Drosophila melanogaster: one gene and its partners. The protein of the gene in region 1 interacts with the protein of each later gene in a pairwise test. Each region holds a gene or a part of one and is shown in the gene's direction. Other genes may lie near its edges.

What was found. The genes of interacting proteins can lie anywhere in the genome.
Region 2: the proteins of CG15422 (region 1) and CG8541 interact in a two-hybrid assay, tested with the Drosophila melanogaster proteins (one large-scale study listed by BioGRID).
Region 3: the proteins of CG15422 (region 1) and CG13049 interact in a two-hybrid assay, tested with the Drosophila melanogaster proteins (one large-scale study listed by BioGRID).

What each region holds. Positions count from the first base shown.
Region 1 is NT_033779.5:4,000,429-4,007,660, forward strand, and holds CG15422 (uncharacterized protein), read left to right. Parts: upstream 1-4,555; 5' UTR 4,556-4,627; coding exon 4,628-4,942; 3' UTR 4,943-5,242; downstream 5,243-7,232. Other genes in the region: CG43797 (uncharacterized protein), read left to right, coding at 1-312; CG34176 (uncharacterized protein), read left to right, coding at 3,703-3,954; CG15423 (uncharacterized protein), read left to right, coding at 5,685-6,008.
Region 2 is NT_037436.4:7,466,698-7,474,422, forward strand, and holds CG8541 (uncharacterized protein), read left to right. Parts: upstream 1-4,861; 5' UTR 4,862-4,912; coding exon 4,913-5,740; 3' UTR 5,741-5,817; downstream 5,818-7,725. Other genes in the region: CG42661 (uncharacterized protein), read left to right, coding at 1-54, 122-190; Tsp66A (tetraspanin 66A), read left to right, coding at 622-723, 781-966, 1,027-1,161, 1,223-1,399, 1,449-1,565; CG8543 (uncharacterized protein), read right to left, coding at 2,879-3,538.
Region 3 is NT_037436.4:16,279,224-16,286,325, reverse strand, and holds CG13049 (uncharacterized protein), read left to right. Parts: upstream 1-4,395; 5' UTR 4,396-4,459; coding exon 4,460-4,477; intron 4,478-4,540; coding exon 4,541-5,068; 3' UTR 5,069-5,194; downstream 5,195-7,102. Other genes in the region: CG13047 (uncharacterized protein), read left to right, coding at 971-982, 1,061-1,561; CG13048 (uncharacterized protein), read left to right, coding at 2,669-2,686, 2,746-3,348; CG13064 (uncharacterized protein), read right to left, coding at 5,521-5,775, 5,839-5,847.

The sequences.
Region 1 (7,232 bases):
AATTGGTATAATGCTGTAAAGTTCTGCCAAGAAATTGGAGGCAAACTAGCTGAATTCAGTGATGAACATGAGTACGACACTGTCATATCAACAGTTGAACCTGATACTTGTTACTGGATTGGCATTCGCAGTTATAATAACGAACATCAATCTTTGCGTACTGACAATCGCCCATTATATCTTAAAATGGCTGATATGCCAAACAACAATATTTTTAATGGTGAAAATTGTGTTGGTATTCAAAACGGTTTTATGCATGACCTTTGGTGCAATTTAAGCTATTACTCTATTTGCACAACTAGTTGGTTTTAAAATCGTTGGCAACAAATGTAGAATGCGATTGCTTGTTCAATAAAATATTATTAATTTCCAATGCGCATATCTAAGAATTTCATTTTCAGTGTAAGCAAGTCCATCAAAGGGAGGGCCAAATCATGAAAAGGACAAATGAAGTGAAATTTAAATGATTGCATACTCGGAGGCGTTTGTTGAACCACTTATTTTCACCTAATTGCACACTCGAGTGGACAGACGATGCTTTTTCCACTTGGTTGACTGGCCAAAAATGCGGGGCTGGGAAGTTCCACAAGTGGGGGCGTGGTCACTTACTGTTACGCAACAAAGTCACAAAAATATTTGCCAAGCATTTTACGTCCAACATTTTATCCGTCCGATTTTTTGGATGGCCCTTTCCCTCGGAAATGTTTACCCAATTTTTGGATGTGCCAGTAAATGGAAAAGTGAAAAATCGTTTATGAATTTCGTGGGCTTTTGTTTTGATTGCGACAATACGTGAGAAGCAATTATACGGCGGCACATGAAAGTGAGATCCGGAAATTGGCTTGAGTTTATGTACATGTATACGCATAAGAAGACCTTGGTTTTCCTGGAGTTCTGGGCGTGCAAACCGCAGGCATTAAAGGGACAACTTTGTGCTCCCTTCAACTTTTGCCTCATTTTTGTTTCTTTCGCTGGTTAATTTTTGCGCCTCGCGAAAAGAAACAAATTTTCATGCAAATGGAAATGGAAAATGCAAATTAACAAGTTCCTTAATGGCCTTGTGGGCGTAAGGGGGAGTGGCGGTTGCTGGTGTACACCTATGGCTGTAAAACTGTGAGCTGATTTCAATTAAAAGTTGAGAGGAACGCAAGCGTCAGTGCTTCTAAAACTATTGTGCATAAGAAACCGTTTTAATTTACAATATAGAGTTCAAAAATGTAAAAATATGTAAATTCTTTTTTTAATAATATTTTTAAAAATATTTAAATTATTGAATATGCTAAGCACATTGCCTAATTGTAAAAATATTCGACAACATTTTCGTAGTTACGCTGCAAGATTTCAAGAGTTTAGCAAAACTGTCAAGTCATCCCTCACCTCTGGCAGCATTTTGCCTTTCCGTCTTCAGTTTTACAACTCTATCAATCATCAACTTGCAGCGAGTGCCTGAAAACGGTAGCTCAATAAAATGTTCTTGAAAATGTTCGAAAAACATCTCAGCCCAACCCCGAAAACACTTTTCAGATACGAGTATTGCCATGACATGTCGACAAAAGCAATGATTCCTTTTGGGTAACCCATTTCTGCACCAACCGATTTTCCAACTTTCCCGATTTTCTTGCCAACTCTTGCTGCGTTACGCGATTTCCCAGCCACACTTGCATGTCATGACATGAGCAGGAAATGCGTTTTCTGACGCCGCTGCTAAAGAAGCCTCGTAAAGGTGGTATGCACTGAAGAAAAATGCATACAATCAATTTTTTCATAAATCCTTTATACACATTTCAACGTACATGTTGTTATTCTGTATAAAACCGATATTTTTTTTTTCAAAATTTTAAATCCCTTTAAAAATAATAATTACAATAATTTGGACTTTTGTGCGAAGCTGAATTTTGCAAATACTTTCATTTGATTTCTCTCAGTAAACGGGTTGCGAAATTTCGGATAGCTGCTTTTCCTGGTTTCTTGGTTAGGCTTACGGTTACGGTTTTTTGGCTATGCCGTGTGCCTGGTTCCGTTTCTTGTGCACCAAGCGGAGCGCCATAAATATTTAAATTGTGCGACGCCGCCGCCACCGCTTAAAACCACCAGAACCACCATCCCCCCAACCACATCCCCATCCATTTGCAACACCCCTTTTGCCACGCCCCCTTATGCGCCTGTCTTGCATGTTGCTTGCCGGCTTATTTTTTGACAGTTATCGATTCGAGGGCGCTGCCTCAGTTTCAGCTGCAGATTCAGATCCAGATTCAACTCCCGATTCCAAGCCCCAATTTTCTGATTTTGATTCTTCACTCGGGGACAGAGACATTTTATCTTGCCAGGACTCAATTCATTTCCTAAAATATGCACAAGGAGTTAAAAAATACATGTGGAAAAAGCGGAGGCTTCAAAGATGACGCACTTAATACACTTTTTCGAGTAAATTCGCTTGAGAAATTTTCTTTTTCTTCAGAGGTCTTGAAAATTTACATTATTTTTTATCCCCAAAGTGAATTGGCTACGTTTAAACTATCGTTTTTGCTATGGACAGTGATTTCATTACAGCCAGTTGGGATTTCCTTTTAATGGCTATAATAACTAAAGTGAGTGACTGTCATGCGGCCTGCCACGCCCCACCAACGCAGCGCGCCCACAAAAGCTCAGTCGATATGTTGCGCGTTATGCGGCACTCATTTCCTTCCTTCTTTTGCGTCAGTTGAAAACTTTGCCCGAAACTCGTTTGCCACTTTGTGCATGTTTAACTTTTTAGGGCAAGCACCCTTAACCCTTAAGCCGTAACCCTTAACCCCAGTTCCTTGATCGAAGTGACAATTCAAAGAGCGAATGAAATGCGAAATGCAGCACGAACCACTCAATTAAGTACAGCCAAAAAGGCTGCCGCTCTCCTGGTTGTCAAATCGAATATTCCGAATTTTATTTGATCAAGTGATTGAGATTCAGAGAGTCCCGAGAGACTTTTCTTGATTGACCGTCAGAAATTACCATGTTTTTCTATCCATACATTTAATATTTACCCACGTCGCCCCTCGAGGCAAAATCGTGTCTGCAAACTTTGCATAATAGACGTGCAAATGTTTGCCAAATATTTGCCGGCTAAGGAAAATGTGTAAAGAATTATTGGGAATTTTTCGGGGCTGAAAATTGGATAAATATTTGTGGCTTGACAACATTTTCTCAAGCTAAAGTTTGTTTTCACTAGAGTTAAGGAATTTAATCGCATTTAACCAAATACAAATATTTGCACGTTGGTTCATTTCCTTTCTTCGTGACAACGAAATACTTTATTTCTTTTTAAAACTTTAAACAAGTATTTACATGACTATATGTAAGTTAAGGAGAAATCCCCGGAAAAAACCAAACATGACTCATTAAAGAAACGAGGAAAATCTATTGATATGCAGGCTCAAATTTGAATTGAAAAGCTTATTCGAAAAAAGCTTTACCATTTGCCAATTTTCAGTTTATTTATCGATAACTTTGCTCTAGAAGCAATACTTTCGTCAATAGAAATAATTAAGAGTACCTACCTACCTATTCGCTATCAGCAAATGCTGATATTGAGCTTTTTTATGACGGCAAATATTTTGGCGTTTGTTTGGTTAGTCAGTCCCATGAGTTGGGCATTCGCTTAATTCAGTTACCAGCGATAAGTCGACACATTTGGACGGACTTTCTACAGAAGATTAGTGCACCACTATGCCACCACCACCCCACGATCATTGCGGCGGACCGCCTCATCGTCGTGGACCCGTGATTAAGGTACAGATTGCACCACCATGGCCACGCCGCCATCACCGCCCACCACCCCAAGTTGTGGTGGTGCAGCAGCAGGCTCCGCCACCGCCACCAGTCATGGTGGTGCAACAGGCGCCTCCGCCACCGTACTACCAAAATCCACCACCACCACCACCGCCCGGCAGCAGCCACTACCACAATCCACAGTATTGAGAAGGAACTTTGATCTGTAAAATCCTTCACAATGAATTTATACCACGTAGCCTTACTTAACAACTATATGTCCTCAATAAAGTATAACCTTATAAACTAAGTTTTAGTTTATAGTTTTTAGTTTTTTTGCATATTTGTCATGAGTAATGGTTGAGTTTCAATCGAGTTGATTCCATCACACACACTCCCTCTTTTTATTATCAAAATCTCTAATCCGTGTTTTTTTTTTTTAAGTCTTTATCGGAACACCTGGTTAATTTAGACGGCAATCACTTGTTGTTTTGTTAATGTCTAGCAAAACTTTAATTCATTTTCACCAATGCTCTGTCAATGCTTCTATGCTCCTATATCAGAAATAATAACGCGTTACCCATAGATAAGCCGGAATCAGTTAATATAGTAAACAAAATGCGAGTAAAATAGCGAAACCCGATCACCTGTAAATGCACAACTGTCCGGTCGCTGTTATCAGACCTTGTCGAATGACTAAGCCATCTTATCTTTGCCTCTAACCACTGGAATAATTCCCACAAACCCTGATTGATGGAGCTTCGCAGTTCCAGTTTGTTTCGAGCTAGACGTGTTGTGCCACGGACTTTCCAGTATTCAACGCGTTGCTGGGTGGTGAAGTTGGTTCGGTTGGCTGGTTGATTATTTGGCTAGTTAATCAACTATGCGGTACTATGAAGATCCATGTGGCTATCCTCCTCGCCATCACCATGGTCGTCCAAATATCGAAATTGATGTGGTTCCCGGTTGGGGTGGCGGCTACTATCCGCCGCCGCCTCCGCCTCGGCCCGCCGAGGTAGTCTACATGACCCCGGCGGCTACCTATGTGCCCGGCACACAGGTGATAATGCCGCAACCCTACGGCGGCGTCACGGTGGCCACCACCAATGGATACTATCCGCAGCAGCAGCAGCAGGCGTACGAGTATCAGTACCAGTATCAGCAGCCCTACAACAATCCACCGTATCCGCAGTGGTGAACGAGGTCGGAATGGAAACGAAGCCATCACCACTAACAAAAAAAAAATATACTATCGATGGAGTGAAGGAAGGGATAGATAACAAGAAATCAAAACAAATATCACTTTGTCCTAATCTTAAGTTGAAATGACAACGCAAATGGTGCAATGGTCTTGACATTACGCACCACAAAGTTAACAAGTTAATAACCAGAGGAAGGTACAAAAAAACAAAACTGGAATTTAACTTTAACCGTTTCAAAGAAAATATAATTGTGCTATATAACCTTAAAACGAAATAAATAAAATATCTTGCTCTTCAAAAAACCTACCCGTCTTTAATTCTAAAAATATTCTAAATACTGCATTATCGATTTTATTTATGTTTATGTAATTTAGTGTGAGTCATCAATCAGAAGCATGGAATTAAGTCCTTCCTCTTAAATATAAAATTGTGATTCATGGAAACCTTGAACTCTCCTCATGAAATTCAATTCGGAATTTCGTATTTATCAAATGGCACTTATCAATTTTATTTTTTTTTTATCGAAAAAAACACATTTATTCCACCTGACAAGATAACCAACTAAGCTACTGTGCAAAACGCACATAACAAAATTAGGAAAAAAAATTCCCCCTCATTAGCGATAAAAATTGACTTAAATAGTTAAGCAGGCGAAGAAGCAAGTTCAGTTCGAGAAAGCAGTCAAAGGCATTCACTTCACCCACTAAGGATACAATACTTGGATAGTTTCTGAAGAAAATGCCGTACTACGAGGAGGAACGTCGTCATCACCATCATCACCATCACGGTGGAAGGCCAATTGTAGAGGTGGACATTGTGCCGCCAAGGATTCCTCGACCAGTGATTGAGATCGGAGTGGGCGGCCGGTATCCACCACCACCGCCCAGGGTGGAGGTCATCACACCAGCTGCCGTCTACCAGCCGCCACCACCACGACCCATTATCGAGGTGGATGTGGTGCCACCAAGAGCTCCCTTCATCGAGTTCAACATCGGCGGTCGGCGTCCACCTCCCAGGGAAGAGGTCATCATCGTTCAGCAGCCCCCACCGCCCAGGTGGTAGGCGTGGTCTCCATATGACCGTCGTTCAACAACGAAGTAAAAAACTTTAAAAATATTTATTAAACTTCATGTATTTCTGCAAATAGAAACTATAAACTAACTTTTTACAAAACCTAAGCTCTTGTATAATAAAAATAAAAAATAAATAAACAGTTCACTCCTTCATGTTTGAATTTCGTGTTTATACTACTATATACTATAGTATACTATATATTACGCACATATTTCTTCATGTAAGCTGACATTTTAATTTGCCTCAATCTTATTGCCAATGCAATTGTAAATCCGCTCGAAATATTTGCTTAAATAACTTAAATGCACTTTACCTTAATTGAAATATACTTGATTGGTTTTCAATGTCGGTTCTTGCTGTGACACATTTTCATATTGCGAATATATATGCCTGCATTTATTTGCAATGTTAATGGTACAAATATGAAAATTGAACTGCAGGCGAACGACATAAACAATGGTCATGGTCATGATTCCTTTTCCACTCTCTATTTTCCGTACGGGTAATTGCTTTCGTGGATTTTTTGTGGTTTTTGTATATATTATTTGGCTTCGGTTTTGCTATCTGACTGGTGGGAAATGATTGATGTCCTCTGGTCGTAGCCAGCTTATCAATTATTGTACAACTAGTGCTGTCAGTACATAAACATATTTTAAGCTTTATTATAACGAAAACTGGGCAATAGTTTTCTCAATTTAAATGGCGTAATAAATATAAAAGATCTTGCTGGACTCAAAGTAAAATTTGAATTATGATTTTATATGAAAAGTTATACCATTCTTGCCGTATTTAAATAAGAATTGCATATCCAACTATGGCTTAAAATGTATATGTATACAAATGAAAAATATTTTTCATGATAAGAGTTCGGGAATTGATATCTAAAAAAGAATTAATTACTCATGAAGAGAAGAGTCAAGATAATTATTTTTGGATTCTTAAACTATCGAGAATAGCAAGTAAAAATGTATCCTAAAAAACCACTTAAGAAGAGGTCTATGATGAGTCACTCTAGAATGAAAAGTTCAACATCCCTAGAACATATGAGTCACAGAAAATCGAGGGATTGAGAGATTGAATCACAACTGCTGCAGCAGAATTACGAGTTTGATCCATCACTGTTGTGATAAGCGAGTCCTCAATTTTTCTTATCGCATTCAAACTGGCTGTATAAAAAGGTTATAAGTTAAAGTTAAAAGCCAAATTGAAGTG
Region 2 (7,725 bases), on another chromosome or scaffold:
AATCCTGACAAGACGACAGCCCATCCCATATTTATGATATGCTGGCTCCTTACGGTAAGGTTATACAGACATTCAAATTATATAACTATGTATTAACCAAGTTTTTCCGACAACTGAATAGTTCTTATGTATGGCCGTTATAATAATATACTGGCTTCGGCTACATGACCTTGCCAACGAAGACAATTAGACTGGTATTGAAATGAATACTATGAATACTATGAATACTATCTGGCATAAACGCAAAATATCGTATTACCTCCTCATTAGATCCGTCATTGTGATTTTCAGTGATTAATGTTAAGATATTAACTATGTCGAATAACCAACTGCATTAGAGCAAAAACGGAAACTCACTGGAAACTTCATTAATGAATTGTAAGTATCTGTCAACTTGGGATTTTAGAACTTAACATCTTGTCTTTTGTAAGCAATTGGAGTTAATACCAAAAGCTAGCTGAATTTGCAAATTATAATGGACATCGTATTGGTATTGAAAAACATAGTATCGCTAATTGTCAACCGAAAAAATTCTGTTTTTTTTTTTTAAAGCAGTTATACCATCGAAAGCAGTGTCATTTTAGGTCAAAAATATATATATTCGTATTTTTCGGATAAAATATGGTGGATAATGAGGAAACGGGATGCCTTCAAAGATTACTCAGCGTTGGAAAGCTACAGATTTGCAAGTTCATAATCTACTTTGTGTGGTTGGTCAATTTCGTAGGTAATATCATGGAAGCGAAGAAAAAACCACTACAAAGGTGTTCCCACCCACAGATTTTCAGCTGTGCGGATATTTACATATACTATTTCATACTGAAGGAACACATGCCTTGCTGGGATTGTTTGTTCAGGTCCTACATGATAATCGCTCTAACCGTAAATGCCCTAATGGCGCCGCTGCTGATAGTCGGTTTTTTCTTCATATATTCGCATTTATGCCGCGAAATACGCATTGTAATTGTTTGTAAACATTATTTTTAAAAACACAGCGATTGCCAAGATTGTATTTAAATTTTACAGTATGCCACAGTACTCTTCCTGGCAACATGGTTGCAGATGATGCTGACTATACTGTTTGCACAACAGTACCAAATTGTTGGAGATGTACTTCGAATATGGATGAATCGCAAGAGTTTGGAATTCTACGAAAGTCGCGTAAGAGTTTCGCAATAATATTATATTAAGTAGTAAAGTTACCCACTTCGTTTATTAAAAGTGCCAGTGCTGCGGAGTTTTGGGACCTGACGACTACAAGTTGGGCGATCTGAATATCCCAAAATCCTGTTACAAGAATGGCAGTGAAAGGGATGAGGACCTGTACCGATCAGGCTGCTCCACGCGCTCCATAAAGCCCGCGTCGCCCATCATCCATGTGATCTCCTTCGTAATTCAGGTGAGTAGTGGTCGGGTGTTTCGAATTCTAACGCTAAAAACCATTTTAGTATGTTTTAGTCATATGCATTGAGGTATTCCTTATTATCCTGTTAAGGAGCAAATCCCAACCCACAAGTATGTGGTCTGAGCGGGTCACCGAAAGGTTTGGTAGTGTAAAAAAGTGACTTGCAGTTCTATTCGGATTTGGGAAGCAATCCTAAAGAACATCTCTGAACTTTAGGGCTATTTTCCAACATTGCATGGAACTTAAGCAGCAGATTTTCATGTGAATTGCAATTTTGGGTGCGGTTTTCAATTCACATTGTACCGGGCATGAGTATTGGCATTCTGGCGGGCGAGACAAATTGGATGCTGCCGGCTATCGTCATATTTCACGGACTGCAATCAATAACGATAAACACTTGAGTCGCAAATCCAATGTCCAGAATCCTGTCCAACAACGGCATGCATATGGATGAGCCAATAAAGAAATCAACAAAGCATGTCGGGCGATTGAAAAAGTATTGCAAATACCCCGGATAGCTGGGGATTCGGACACGGAATTGGACTCCAATCCGGACAATATGCAAATGCAGCTAAGCAGAAAATATTCAAGGACGATCCAGCCCCACCCCCTTCAACAAACGCTCAAGTTTATATATTCATTTTGTGTCCCTCGTCCCGCGCATAAATTTTATTGTTGTCAACATTAAATTCTAGTCGTGAAAAACAATTTTGCAGCATTTGAAAATCCATAAAATATGCATACGAAATTGTCCGCCGGAACGACCAACTTTATGGCTAAATAGTTTGCTCCGGCCCACATCGTTAATGCCTTTTTTATGCGTTGTATTTGGGTGTTGGGTAAACTTTTTAGCCGCCATAACAATAACGGCAGCAAAAGCAACCACACTTTGGTCAAGCTGCTGAAATATCCAGTGCAAAGTTCATAGATAAAGGGAAGGGATACAAAGACGAAGTCGCAGGCGAAAAGGGTCATGTGGCTCATTAAACTTTGGCCAACAATTTTTTGTTGCACCCCCCAACCGGCAAAGACAAACAGAAAGTTTTGCACTAAATATTTGCGCCCTCGCAAAAAAAAAAACTAGGAAAACAGAATGAAAAGGGTTTTTGAGGTGAGTGGCCATGGTTTCCGGGGATTTAAAATGGTTGCAACAATTCTTAGCACACATACGCCCCATTAAACGCTAGAAAAATTATATGTTAAGAGCTAAAACAAAAAGGGTGAAAGTGTTTCTTTAAATTGATGTTATTAAATCGTTTTATATGGGAAGTTCTTCAGAATATATGATCATAAAATTAGATTTATGACTGACCCCTTTTACAATGTTTAAACTTTAATTCTTTGCTTACTTGAACAACCTTTTTACCTTTGCAATTGCAGGAAATAATAATTCGTGCTTGATTCAGTTATAAACGGATTTTATTTCGTACAGACAATTCAACAAAGTGTCAACAAAGGTTGGGATGACCTGACCTAGTATCCCCAGTGGGATCCGAATCCATCGAAGCTGGCGTGGGCAACCACGGCGGCGGGCGAGTACTTCACATAGGCGGCGGGAGCAGCAGCCACCAGAGGAGCAGGAGCGTGGTAAACTGGAGCAGGAGCGGAGTACACGGTCTTGGCCACGACTGGAGCTGGAGCGGAGTAGACTGGAGCTGGGGCGGCATAGACAGCCTTGGCGACGGGAGCAGAGTACACGGTCTTGGCCACGACTGGAGCTGGAGCGGCGTAGACTGGAGCTGGAGCGGCATAGACAGCCTTGGCGACGGGAGCAGAGTACACGGTCTTAGCCACGACGGGAGCAGGAGCAGCAGCGTAGAAGGACTTGGTGATCACTGGAGCAGGTGCGGAGTACAGGGTCTTGGGAGTGTAGACATTGTTGGTGATGCGGGAGTCCACCTTGCTGACACTGGAGTACGGGGTAACCACGTTCTTGGAGTAGGTGGACACAGTGCCGCCGAAGGAGCGCACCACATTCTGCTGGGTGGTTCCCACGGCATCGTAGTGGGGCTGAGCCACCTTGGCCACCACGGGAATGGAGGCAGCGGCATAGGTGGTGGCCGGAGCCAGGAAGCCAGCACTGGCCACACCCACCAGAGCGCAGAAGGACAACAGGACGTACTTGAATGCCATGGCTAAGATTGAATTGATTGATTGACAATTTAAAATTGAAAACTTAAGCTGATGTTTGTAGTGAGCTGCTGTGGCTACTGATGCTAAACTCTTGGCAAGCGACTGTTTTTATAGCCAAAACTCGCATATGGCTTGCCAAATTTCACGGCCAACTCGCAAATTATAGTTTGTTCGTATGACAGATTGAGTTAGGCCTAAGCTCCCCACAAAAAAAAAAGAAGAAAAAAAAACTGGTTCAATGGGTCGACAAATGACTGCGCTCTTTTCTCTCCCTCTTTCCGTGCTCCGTCTCTGTCTTAATTGGAGGCCAGCTCAAGTGCCCCACACCCCAAATGCGAAATGTATCAGGAAAGTGAATTATTTTGAATACTCGTACTATCAACAGCTCATAAATTTTCCAGCAACGGAGTGGGGCAAACTTTTATTTTCCCGCTGTGTTTTTCCATTAAATTGAGTTCCACTCGAGCAGCAAATATGAGGCAACCCCTCAATAAGGGGATGTTCCTTAGCTCCTTGTTGCTGTCAACTTTATCAGCAGGGGTGTCAGTGGTTCCTTTCTTTTCGGAGTGGTGGCAGTCAGTTGTTTATGATTTTTGTTTGTTTTTATTCCAAGGGGAAGCCGAGAAGTTTTTGTGCCCTTCCAGAAGGAAGATCTGAAGTTGAAATTAATGATCAGAAGTCGAAAAGTTTTGGTGCGTCCTAAATAGCTGTTCAAGAAAGATGCCATATGCATAGCTCAGTATAAAGTTCCTATATGGATTGGCCATAAAAATAATATTATTTATAGATATATTATAATTCATTGAAACACCCATTTTATTGACACTGCGCATAGAGTACTACCACTTCGTTCTGTGTGCATTTTTCCACTCTTGATGTTTTTCTTTTGTTTCGGCCAAGTTTGGAAAATGAATTTTCCTGCTCTGCTGCTCACGGGCGCATGATGAATATTTATTGAAATTACCAAAGTTGACGCTACTCCAAATTGAATTGTGTTGCCAACTTGGGATGCTTCTTACTGCCACAAATTCTGCGCTCTTTTTCCTTCTTCTATTGGCGCGCATTTTTTTGTTTTGGTTTTTGTTTTTGGCAAATTGTTATTAATTTTACACGGGGGGCGCTGAAGCCCCACACCGAAACCTAATTACCGCGTTTAATGCATGCCTGCAAATTGGCTTTCAAGCGGTTACGCAGGTGAACTGCCATCGCATTGTGGAAATCACCAGAAAACCAACCAAAAACCGACAAAAACTGGCACGCGTCCGATGCGTATAAAAGCCGGCACATTTTGGCCAAATCAGCATCAGTCGCAGCCCAACCAGCCTGCTTTCAACTTGACTCGAGCAAACCGTCCAGTCATCACCGTACTTCAACATGGCATTCCGCTATCTCATCTCTCTGTGCGCCCTGGTGGCCTGCGCCAATGCTGGTCTCTTGGCCAGCCATGTGGCCATTGCTAATCCGTCGGTGGATGCCGTCGCCTCCACTCAGCAGAATGTGGTGAGGTCCTTTGCCGGTACTGTTTCCAGCTACTCGAAGGCGGTGGACACCCCCTACTCCAGTGTGAGGAAGAGCGACACGAGGATCCAGAACAATGTATACACTCCTGCTATTAAGACGACCACTTATGGTGCTGCTCCTCTGTACACTCAGGCTACTCCCATTGTGTCCAAGACTCTGGTCCATGCTCCAGCTCCCGTTGTTGAGAAGACTGTGTACGCTGCTGCTCCAGCTCCAGTTCTGGCCAAGACTGTTTACTCCGCTCCTGCTCCAGTTGTGGCCAAGCACGTTTATTCCGCTCCAGCTCAGGTTTATGCTCCTGCCGCCCCAGTTGTGGCCAAGACCGTGTACTCTGCTCCTGCTCCAGTTTACGCTGCTCCTGCTCCAGTTTATGCTGCACCCGCTCCAGTTGTAGCCAAGACCGTGTACTCCGCACCAGCTCCAGTTCTGGCCAAGACCGTGTACTCTGCTCCAGCTCCAGTTTATGCTGCTTCCGCACCGGCTGTGGCCAAGACTGTGTCCTATGCCGCCCCACTGGCCACCACCAATGTGAACCATGGACCAGCTGCCACCACCTACACCCACAATGCTCCAGCTCTGGGCGTCTCCAGCTATGGAAGCTCCCAGACGGTTCACTATTCCCCCGCAGAGAGTGTGTCGCACATGAGCTTCGATGGATTCGGAACCCACTGGGGTTTCTAAATAAGTCTTGGCCTTTGGGCTTAAGCAATTGTTAATGTTTGGTGGTCAATAAAGACGGAGATCGATTGTTGCAAATTAAACATGAGCCGAGTAAAGTAGACCTTCTGGGTGAACAATGGGCCAAACTGGTTTCTGCCAATTCATCGTTATGCGTTGGCCTTCTATGAGGTCTTACCTGAAGTGCTAAGGCGGTGGGCGTGGTGGTAAGCGGCTTTGTGATAAGCTGTGGGGGCGTGGCATGTCGTGTTTTATGGCTCTTTAATTGGATTTAATATTTTTCGCACACCTTTCCCCCAAAAGCAACTTGTGCACATGTTATATTTATTGTCAGTTAATTAACGGATATTTATGCTCGCATAACCGCAACTCCGCATAAATGGCTTACACGCTTGCCTCCCAAACTTAACATTGACATCTTGGCTCAGAGTGACTGTGGATAGATATGTGGTACTACATTAATGGGTACCAGTTAAATGGGTTCAATTGGAACCATTGACAGGCGGCCAAGAGGTAGAGTTTAATAGACCGAATGCGTGTTTTGACAGTGATATTTTAACGGGATTGCTTGAACAGCGATCGAGTTGCGTAATGAAAGGTAAATGATAGAGAGACTGAGGTAATAGACAAAAGACAAAAAGACAGGAAAGTTATTAAAGACATGGATCAGCTCTTAATAAGCATTAACTTATGCCTCATGAACTTTTGAACTTATTACTATTGATAATAATTTTTGTTATTCTTCCTTAAAACTCGTTTAAGATTTTCTCAAAAATAAGTCAAAAATGTTCAACTTTAGTTTGCCCTTCTAAGACATGACACTAATGCGACATGCAATCGAGCTGATTAATTCCCTCTTGGCCAATTGACAGGCCAGACAAGAACAATCAAATTAAATGAAAACGTGTCCAAAAAGAGTAGAACGAGGACCCTGTCTTGGAATTTTTGCCAGCCAAATTAGTTGCATTTGTTATTGTTCTCGGCGGGCGCTTTGATTTGTGATTTGATTGCGCATACGCCCCGTGCCACATGCCAAAATGTGCCAGATTGTTCTCGTCTGAGTTGACAATTAGTCAATAATTTATTTCAATTTCATTTCGCATGCCAAGCACACACACACAAACAAAACACCCCAAAAGGAAAGCCTAACTGCACTTTAATTACATTTACATTTTGGCTTGAGATTGTCGCTTTAGTTTTTGCCACAAAAACGAGACTGACAAGGGGGCAAATTGCTGGGACCATCCTGCAATTGTTGCAATGCAATTTAGGTAAGCGAATTTTCATGATTTAAATAACAGCATTATGTGCGGCAGATTGTGTGTGTATGTGGTTGAAAAACTGCAGACATTGTCGCTTTGCCGTTCGGTATTTTGTGTTTTGTCTGACTGGCTGGCTGTGTGTCCTGGTATAATTAAATTATGGCTGGACATAAGACGCATAATAGGTCATAAATCAAATTTACCTATCCCACGGGTCCATGCCGAGCATGACACTCCAGACGGCGTCACAGACACAGTTTCCCATAGACAACGTTGCACCGAAAAAAATTTAATATTATTTTTATAAAATATTAAACTTGCTTAAAAGCTTGATTTGGCTTAGAGACTTCTAATAAAAACTTAAATTGAGATTAGAAACATCCTGTTCAGACCTTTTTTAAACGTTACATATTATTCTGCACATAATTTTCTTCCGTGGAACAAGGACACATTGTGTACTGGTCATTTTTCCCTAATTTTGATGGACATTATGACGACTCTGTCTCGGCACACAATTAGATAATTGATGCATCTGCTATGGCTGTTGTGCCCGTCCCGCCCGTTTGAATTTACATTTGTGCCGGCATTTCAATTGCAACTTTGACTCCACCGAACCACAAAAGGGCCGTCCCATGGTCCAGATTCTGTTTTCCTAACTGCGGCTATAACTGCCATACTGTGACTGCAGTTAATGTGTCCTTCTGTCAGAACCAGCCACACTTTGAA
Region 3 (7,102 bases), on another chromosome or scaffold:
CGCAGACACCAAGCCATCAGATGACGACGATGCTGCTGACCAGGCCAGCACGTGACCGAGAGAGACCGAGAGAGATGGCTCATTAAGTCAGCTAGCAAGCAGGTTTCGACTGCTCGATCATTCGGCCCCGCGCCTTGTTGGCCAATTAAGCTGAAGCGAATTGATGAGACCCACTGGATGAGGATGAGGGTGCATCACATCCTGTGGCCAGGTGGCGTCAAGGTCAGGTCAACACGAAAACAAATGAAGACCCGTCGGCTAGGATGAGAGGGAAATTTACGACCGCCTTTTATTGGCGTCTCTGCAAGCCATTAAAAAGTGAACTAATGAGACACTTAGTGGGCCGGAATCGTGGCCTTTGAGGAAGGGGTACCATTTTTATGGCCAATTTGACTTAGATTGCGGCCAATTCAATGCGAAGCGGCGCACATTGATGGCCCAAACAGACTGCAAATTACGACAAGACAGCCCGGCCACCGAGTCAGTCTTCAATTGCATACAAATGTCGATCACTGCACTTGGAAAAATTTTTATAAAGACTATAACTTGGTATGCTATACAAAAAGTTTACCTCTGCATGTAAATACACTGCACTAAATAGTTAAGGTTAAAAATTTTAAATAAAATATTTATACATTGAAATCAGAATTATATCATATCTTTTCTTATAATATTTACCAAAGCTCAAATATTTTTCCAAGTGCAACCGAAATATTCAAGCGACAACTTGGACAACTTCCGACAGTCCATTGGGCAATTGAAGGCGGAGCACGTCTTGGCCAAATGGCGATCATGTATGCTACTTGGCACTCGACCAGGTGGGCCAGCTAATGAAGAAGCGACCAAAAATCGGCTCAGACAGAATGTCCCCCAAAGAGCACGGATATGGGCACGAGCTATATAAGCCACTGGTCTGGCTCCAAATGAACATTATCGCTCAAGTGCTTTAGACAAACCCAACCACAGCAATATGTACAAGTTTGTAAGTGATCCTATGGGGATTAGCGCCCAAACAATGTGGACTAAGAGGTGGTTAATGATTACCTATCCTATTTTCCAGTTGGTTCTCGCTGCCCTCATCGCCTGCTCTGCGGCCAAACCAGGAGTTGTAGCTCCACTGGCTGCTCCTCTGGCTGCTCCCCTGGCCTACGCTAATGCTCCTCTGTACGCCGCAGGTGGCAGCAGCCAGGTGGATGTCCGCAACAACTACGACGGCACCCTGTCCTCCTACACCACCGCTCCGTTCGAGTTCGCCGGCCCCTACTCCAGCCGCTATGTGTCCGGAATCCCAGCTGCCCCCGCCGTGGTGGCCAAGTACGCTGCTGCTCCTCTGGCCGCCGCCTACTCTGCTCCTCTGGCTGCTCCCGTCGCTGCTCCTCTGGCCGCTGCTCCCGTTGCTGCTCCTCTGGCCGCTGCTCCCTATGCCGCCGCTGCCTACTCCGCCTATCCCTATGCCTCGCCCTACGCTGCACCCTACCTGGCATCTCCCTACGCCGCTCCCTACGCTGCATCCTATGCTGCTCCCATCGCCGCTGCTGCTCCAGCTCCAGTGGTGGTCTAAGGACACACCTGTGAAGCAGGCCAAACTATAGGAAATTTTTGATAAACAAAAAAAAAAACTGATAATAAATTACGAACCAACAATTAGAGCGCACCATCTTATTATTTGCAGAAATGCCTTGAATAATTAACGAAAAACGAAAGTACTATTATTTATCGGATATTTTTGGTTCATGAAAATTCAATTGGACGCTCATTTCGATTGGGTCAATATATATATATTTCTTAAGAAAATATAAAATAACTTCTTTACTTAACTATGATCAATTTTTGATTAGATGATTCCTTTTGTGCAAGTGGTTTTATTAAGCATCCATATATTTCCAGATTTCAGATAGAGGAAGTTATTTAATTTTTTTTTAGAAACTTTAGAACTTTCCATTTAATGCTCTGAATTTCTCGTTTCTCACTCATTTCTTTGATATGCAAAATAAGCTTGTTTATTGGTGGATATCATTTAATACAAATTATGCATAAATTATAGGTCTGCATTTAATTTTTAATGGAATTTTTTCTAACAGCTGCATTGAATTTTAAAGATAATATTGACAAAGTAGCAACATACATAAGTTAGGGACTTAGGGAAGTTAAAGTCAGACAACTTGGTCACCATGTAAACAATATTTGTTGTGATTGCGTTGTCACCTAAGGCGCAATATCGATTGTTATTTATGGTCAAAGCAATATTTATGGATTATCATAATCATATTCCACTCATGGGCAACTGTCAATGCCTGGGCTTGGTTGGCCCCATGTTATATAATCATGGGCCGTGCTTTCGAATCGCCCAAGAAGTTATTGGCCCCTCGATCGAAGGCAGTGCCATTCGCAGTCGCCGTCTCAGTCACGACTTGCTGACCAACTAAATGGGATTGGGTTGCCTCCCTCCAAATGATGCAACCCATTAAGTTAGGTGAGTGGGCCAAGTCGTCGTCGAAAGTGAAGAAATGCAAGTGCAAGTCTTTTGATTGCGTACCGCCTTCAATTCGCTATAAATATTAATTTAATTTGACAATGCAAAGACATTAGCAGCCGAACCAACAGGTCGAGCACATCGATCGAGAAGCTACTGCCCCAAAGAAACCGAACTTCAAATCCCCCAAGCAAGATGTGGCAACTGACATGGGTAAGGACTGCAAAGTTCTTTTGACCAAAGATATTAATAGGTAACCTAAATATTTTTAGGCCTTTGCATTGGCTTTCCTGCTGGTGGGTGGTGAGGCAAAGCCCTCTCATCTTCACTACAATCACTTCGATCCCCACCATGTCAACCACTTTGACGGACATCATCTGAGCCACTTGGATTCTCTGCATGCTCTGCCGCACCACTTGGATTACGCGGTGCAGGAATCGGTCCTTCCTCCGCCAGCTCCTTTGCTTCCTGCGGTGGCTCCACCACCAGCATTTGCTCCACCACAACCTGTATTTGCTCCAGCGCCTCTCTTACCTGCTCTTGCACCATTTTTACCGGCTCCTGCTCCTCTTCTGCCCGCTCCTGCACCACTTCTACCAGCACCTGCACCACTTCTACCAGCTCCAGCTTTTCTGCCAGCTCCTACTCCTCTTTTGCCCGAGTTCCATGTGCCCAGTGTCACCCATCAAGTGCTGCCGCCCGTCCTGGAGGCGGTGCCCTTTGCACCCACCTACCGTGCCATTCCCGGACCGAAGACCACCACCCACCGCGTGTCCATTGGCTACGCCTTTCCCAAGCTGCTGGCCACGCCCCACGCCCATCTGAAAGCCCTGCCCCTGAAGTTCGCTCATCACCATCACCACTCGCTGTGGTGATCATCCCGACCTTACGGATGATGAAAACCTCACCAAAGAGTAATTAGTGTCAGATAGGATATGTAAAGCTTAAATCTACAAGTCTACCTGCATTATACAATAATTTATCGAATAAATATAGTGAAATAAAAAACGAAACAAATAAAATTCATGCATTATACAATAATATATCGAATAAATATAGTCAAATAAAATGAATTATAAATCAAATTACATTTATACTCAATTTAAGGCTCTGTTAACCTTAGAATTCAATCATTGCGTTCTTAAGCAAAATATATGAAAATATATTCAGTATTCCCGCACATTCTTACCAATTATTTCCAAAAATAGAAATCCCAGAGAATGTAACTGCGGTTGATAAAATCATAGGCACACCAAAAAATTAGCAAAAGGAAACATATTCGCTATCTGATTCAGACTCTCATTACGAACCAGACGCCTCGTAATGTCGCCAAATGGGGTTTCATTTATTCGGCCAACACACACACACACAAACTATTGGCAACACACACACACACACACTCACAAGTGGGGCACAGAAATGTTGTTAGTGGATTTCGAACTGCACGCAACATGAAATCAAATCAGAAATTCCAGACACAAACCCGGCCCAAACACGCGACAATTGTTGCAACAATAAACAAAAAGCGGGTGGACGAAAAAAAGTGGTAATTCAATTAAATGATTGAGCCAAGTAACACGTACTCTGGGTAAATAATTGCAGCTCATTACAAAAGCACCACCCACCGAAAATATTCGAAAAGCCCCAACTGTCATAAACCCGACCGAAACCCAAACGAAATCTTGCCCAATATTAACCTAGGTTATGGTCGGGAATTGCGTGCAATTATGAAAGTTTTCGGGGGCGATCGACGTAAGAGGCTACCGATTGATTATTAAGTACATATGTACATATATCGCACCGATCCAGCAACGCCCTTCATCAGCTCCCAATATAGAAAGTCTTCCAAGGTGTTTTCGTATGCGCGTCCATGGATATTCCGTGGGCTACAGAATTATAAAAGCGTTACCCAGTGGACAATTGGATATCACAGTTCAGTCTGCCTTCAAGCTAATCACACCTAGCAAATCATACCCAATCCCCAAAATGTTCGCCAAGATTGTGGTGAGTTGCAAAGGATGTCCGGATCTATCGAAGTGGATTATAGATATATACCTTCATTTACAGCTCGTTGCCCTCTGCGTGGCCTCTGCTCAGGCTGGTCTCCTTCCTTTCCATGCTCCGGCTCCACTGGCTGCTCCACTTGCTCCTGCCTTCGCAGCTCCCCTGGCTGCTCCTGTGGCTACCGCCGGAGTGGTGGCTCCATATGCCTCCAGCTTCAATGCCCACCGCATCAACCACGCCGTGGCATACCCAGTGGCTCCTGCTCCAGCTCCAGTGGCCTTCGCTGCTCCCCTTCCCGCTCCCCTGCCCGTTCCAGTTGCTGCTCCCGCTCCAGTGGCCTTTGCCGCTCCTGCTCCTCTGCCAGTGGCTGCTGCTCCTGCTCCGGTGGCCTTTGCTGCTCCCGCCAAGGTTGCCTTCGCCGCTCCCGCTCCGGTGGCTGCTCCTCTGGGCTTCGCCCCTGCTCCGGCGCCTGTTGCCTTCGCCGCACCAGCCAAGTTCGGATTCGGACCCTTCGCCGCTCCCCTGGCTGCTCCAGTCCCAGCGCCTCTGGCTGTGGCCCCCAAGTTCGCTCCCGCCCCATACTTCTTCTAAGGACTTAGCTGTAGGATCACCCAGCTCATACACTCCCATCCGTCCTATTAGATTGTAGAAACTAGCCCAAATCTTCATCTCCTAGAGAGCAGCAATGCTTGGCGAATAAACAATTATCCATTAATCAAATTTACAAACGTGTTTCTTTGAGGAAGTTTACTTGGTAGCCTCTCAGTAGTATTTCCTATTATAGCTGCCTTGGATTATACCATCCAAAATCATATTTCAAATTAATACTGCTCTTAAAAGTCGAACATCATTAGCGGATAATATATAATACCTTCTAAAACCATATAAACGGTTTCTATATTTTTTACGGATTTTTAGGTAAGTTTTATAGAATCATTCATCAGTGATAGCAGCAATGTTAAACGTAATGATTAAAAGAATGATTATTATTATTATTTGTTTTTATTTATAAGTTAAACTATGTTTTTCTAGGGTATACATCGCTAGAACCTAATGTTTTTGACATGACCAATCCTCTGGAAGAGAGGAACATGTTCGTAGGGCGTGTGCGAAATGGGCACCGAATCGTAGGTGACGTGGGCAATCTTCGTGAGAGGTGCCACAATGGTGTAGCCAGGATGCTGAGCCAACTCCTGGGGCGTTGATGCAACCGGCAGAGGATGATGATAGATCACCGGGTGATGGTAGATAACCGTGGCGGCAAAGGCACCACTCAAAAGGCCGAATAGCACGACGAGCTAAAATAAGATCTATCAGATACAGATACTAATAAAGGAGTACTGAGTATCTATCCTGTTTACCTTGAACATTCTCTGGTGATATTGTGGTCAGAACTGCACTTGGACTAAGCTGAATGCAGCCGAAGGCCAATCAATTTATAGGCTCGTCTTCATCGCTGGATTTTCATAGCGCTTTTAAACAGTTAGGAGGGGTAAACCGGTTGACAATCCCCTGAGATCAGCAACTGCATTTCCCTTGCTACCAGGAACCTGTTGCAACATCCATGTAGTGGGAGCACTACTCCACTTGGCCTCTGGTCCCCTTCTCTTCGAAAAGAAACCCGTTTTCAAGTTCAAGTTTAAAGCGTCAACGCCGAAGATTATCAAAGAGTCAGTGACTCTTTTGTGCACTTAATTATGGCACATTGGGTTGGTTGGTTGCTTTTGTTGTCTTACATTTCTCGGCTTTTTGTTTGTTTGTTTTTTTTTTCTTGGGAAGTATGAGTTAGTTGGTCACACGTCTGCGGATTTGCCTTTGTTTACCCATTTGATGTCTCTTTTCAATTTTAATCATTGCCCAATCTTGTGTTTTTCGAGCTATTTTATGTGGCTTTGGAGGTGTTAAGAATTGATTAGTTTGACTTTATTCAGCGGCTGTTCGAGCTCTTTATGCTAAAGCGGTTATAAACGTTGTTTTAGTTTTAATACTAGCACACTCCCTACAACGAAGTTGCTTTTGTGGCCAGTCTGACACATACAAATTTTGCTTAATATATACTTGTGTTATAGATTCGTGAAAAATAGATTTTGAAATATATTTAAATTAAACCTACGAATATATAGCGTTTTTTTGGAGGAGTCTATACTTTTACTTATATAGTTCTCTTCTTTTCTATACTGAATAAAAATAAACAGACCATTGACCCGAAGTTCAGATCTTAGTTCTTGATCAGATCCAACCGGAATCACATGAAGGAAACGAAGGAAAAGGCCACCCACCAGATTTAAAATGCCCACAGGCCAAATTAAAAACTGGAACTGGAACCATTGTGGACTGGTAAATGCCAAACTCGATTGCAGATTATACAATGCTGGCCCAAAAGGCAAAAAAAAACAGGTGTTGGATTTTCTTTTTATTTACAGCAGCTACGGATGGTTTTGTGGCATGCCGCTAACTTGGGCAACTTGTCAGGCGAATTAGATTTACTTTGTGGCACTGCTCATTAGATCACCGATGTCCATGTGGGGATGCAATCCACTGAACTGGGGTTTGGTATAAAAGAGGCCTGCTGGGATCAACTGCAGCAACACAATTGGTTAAGCCGCCACAGAAGCAGCCGGAAAA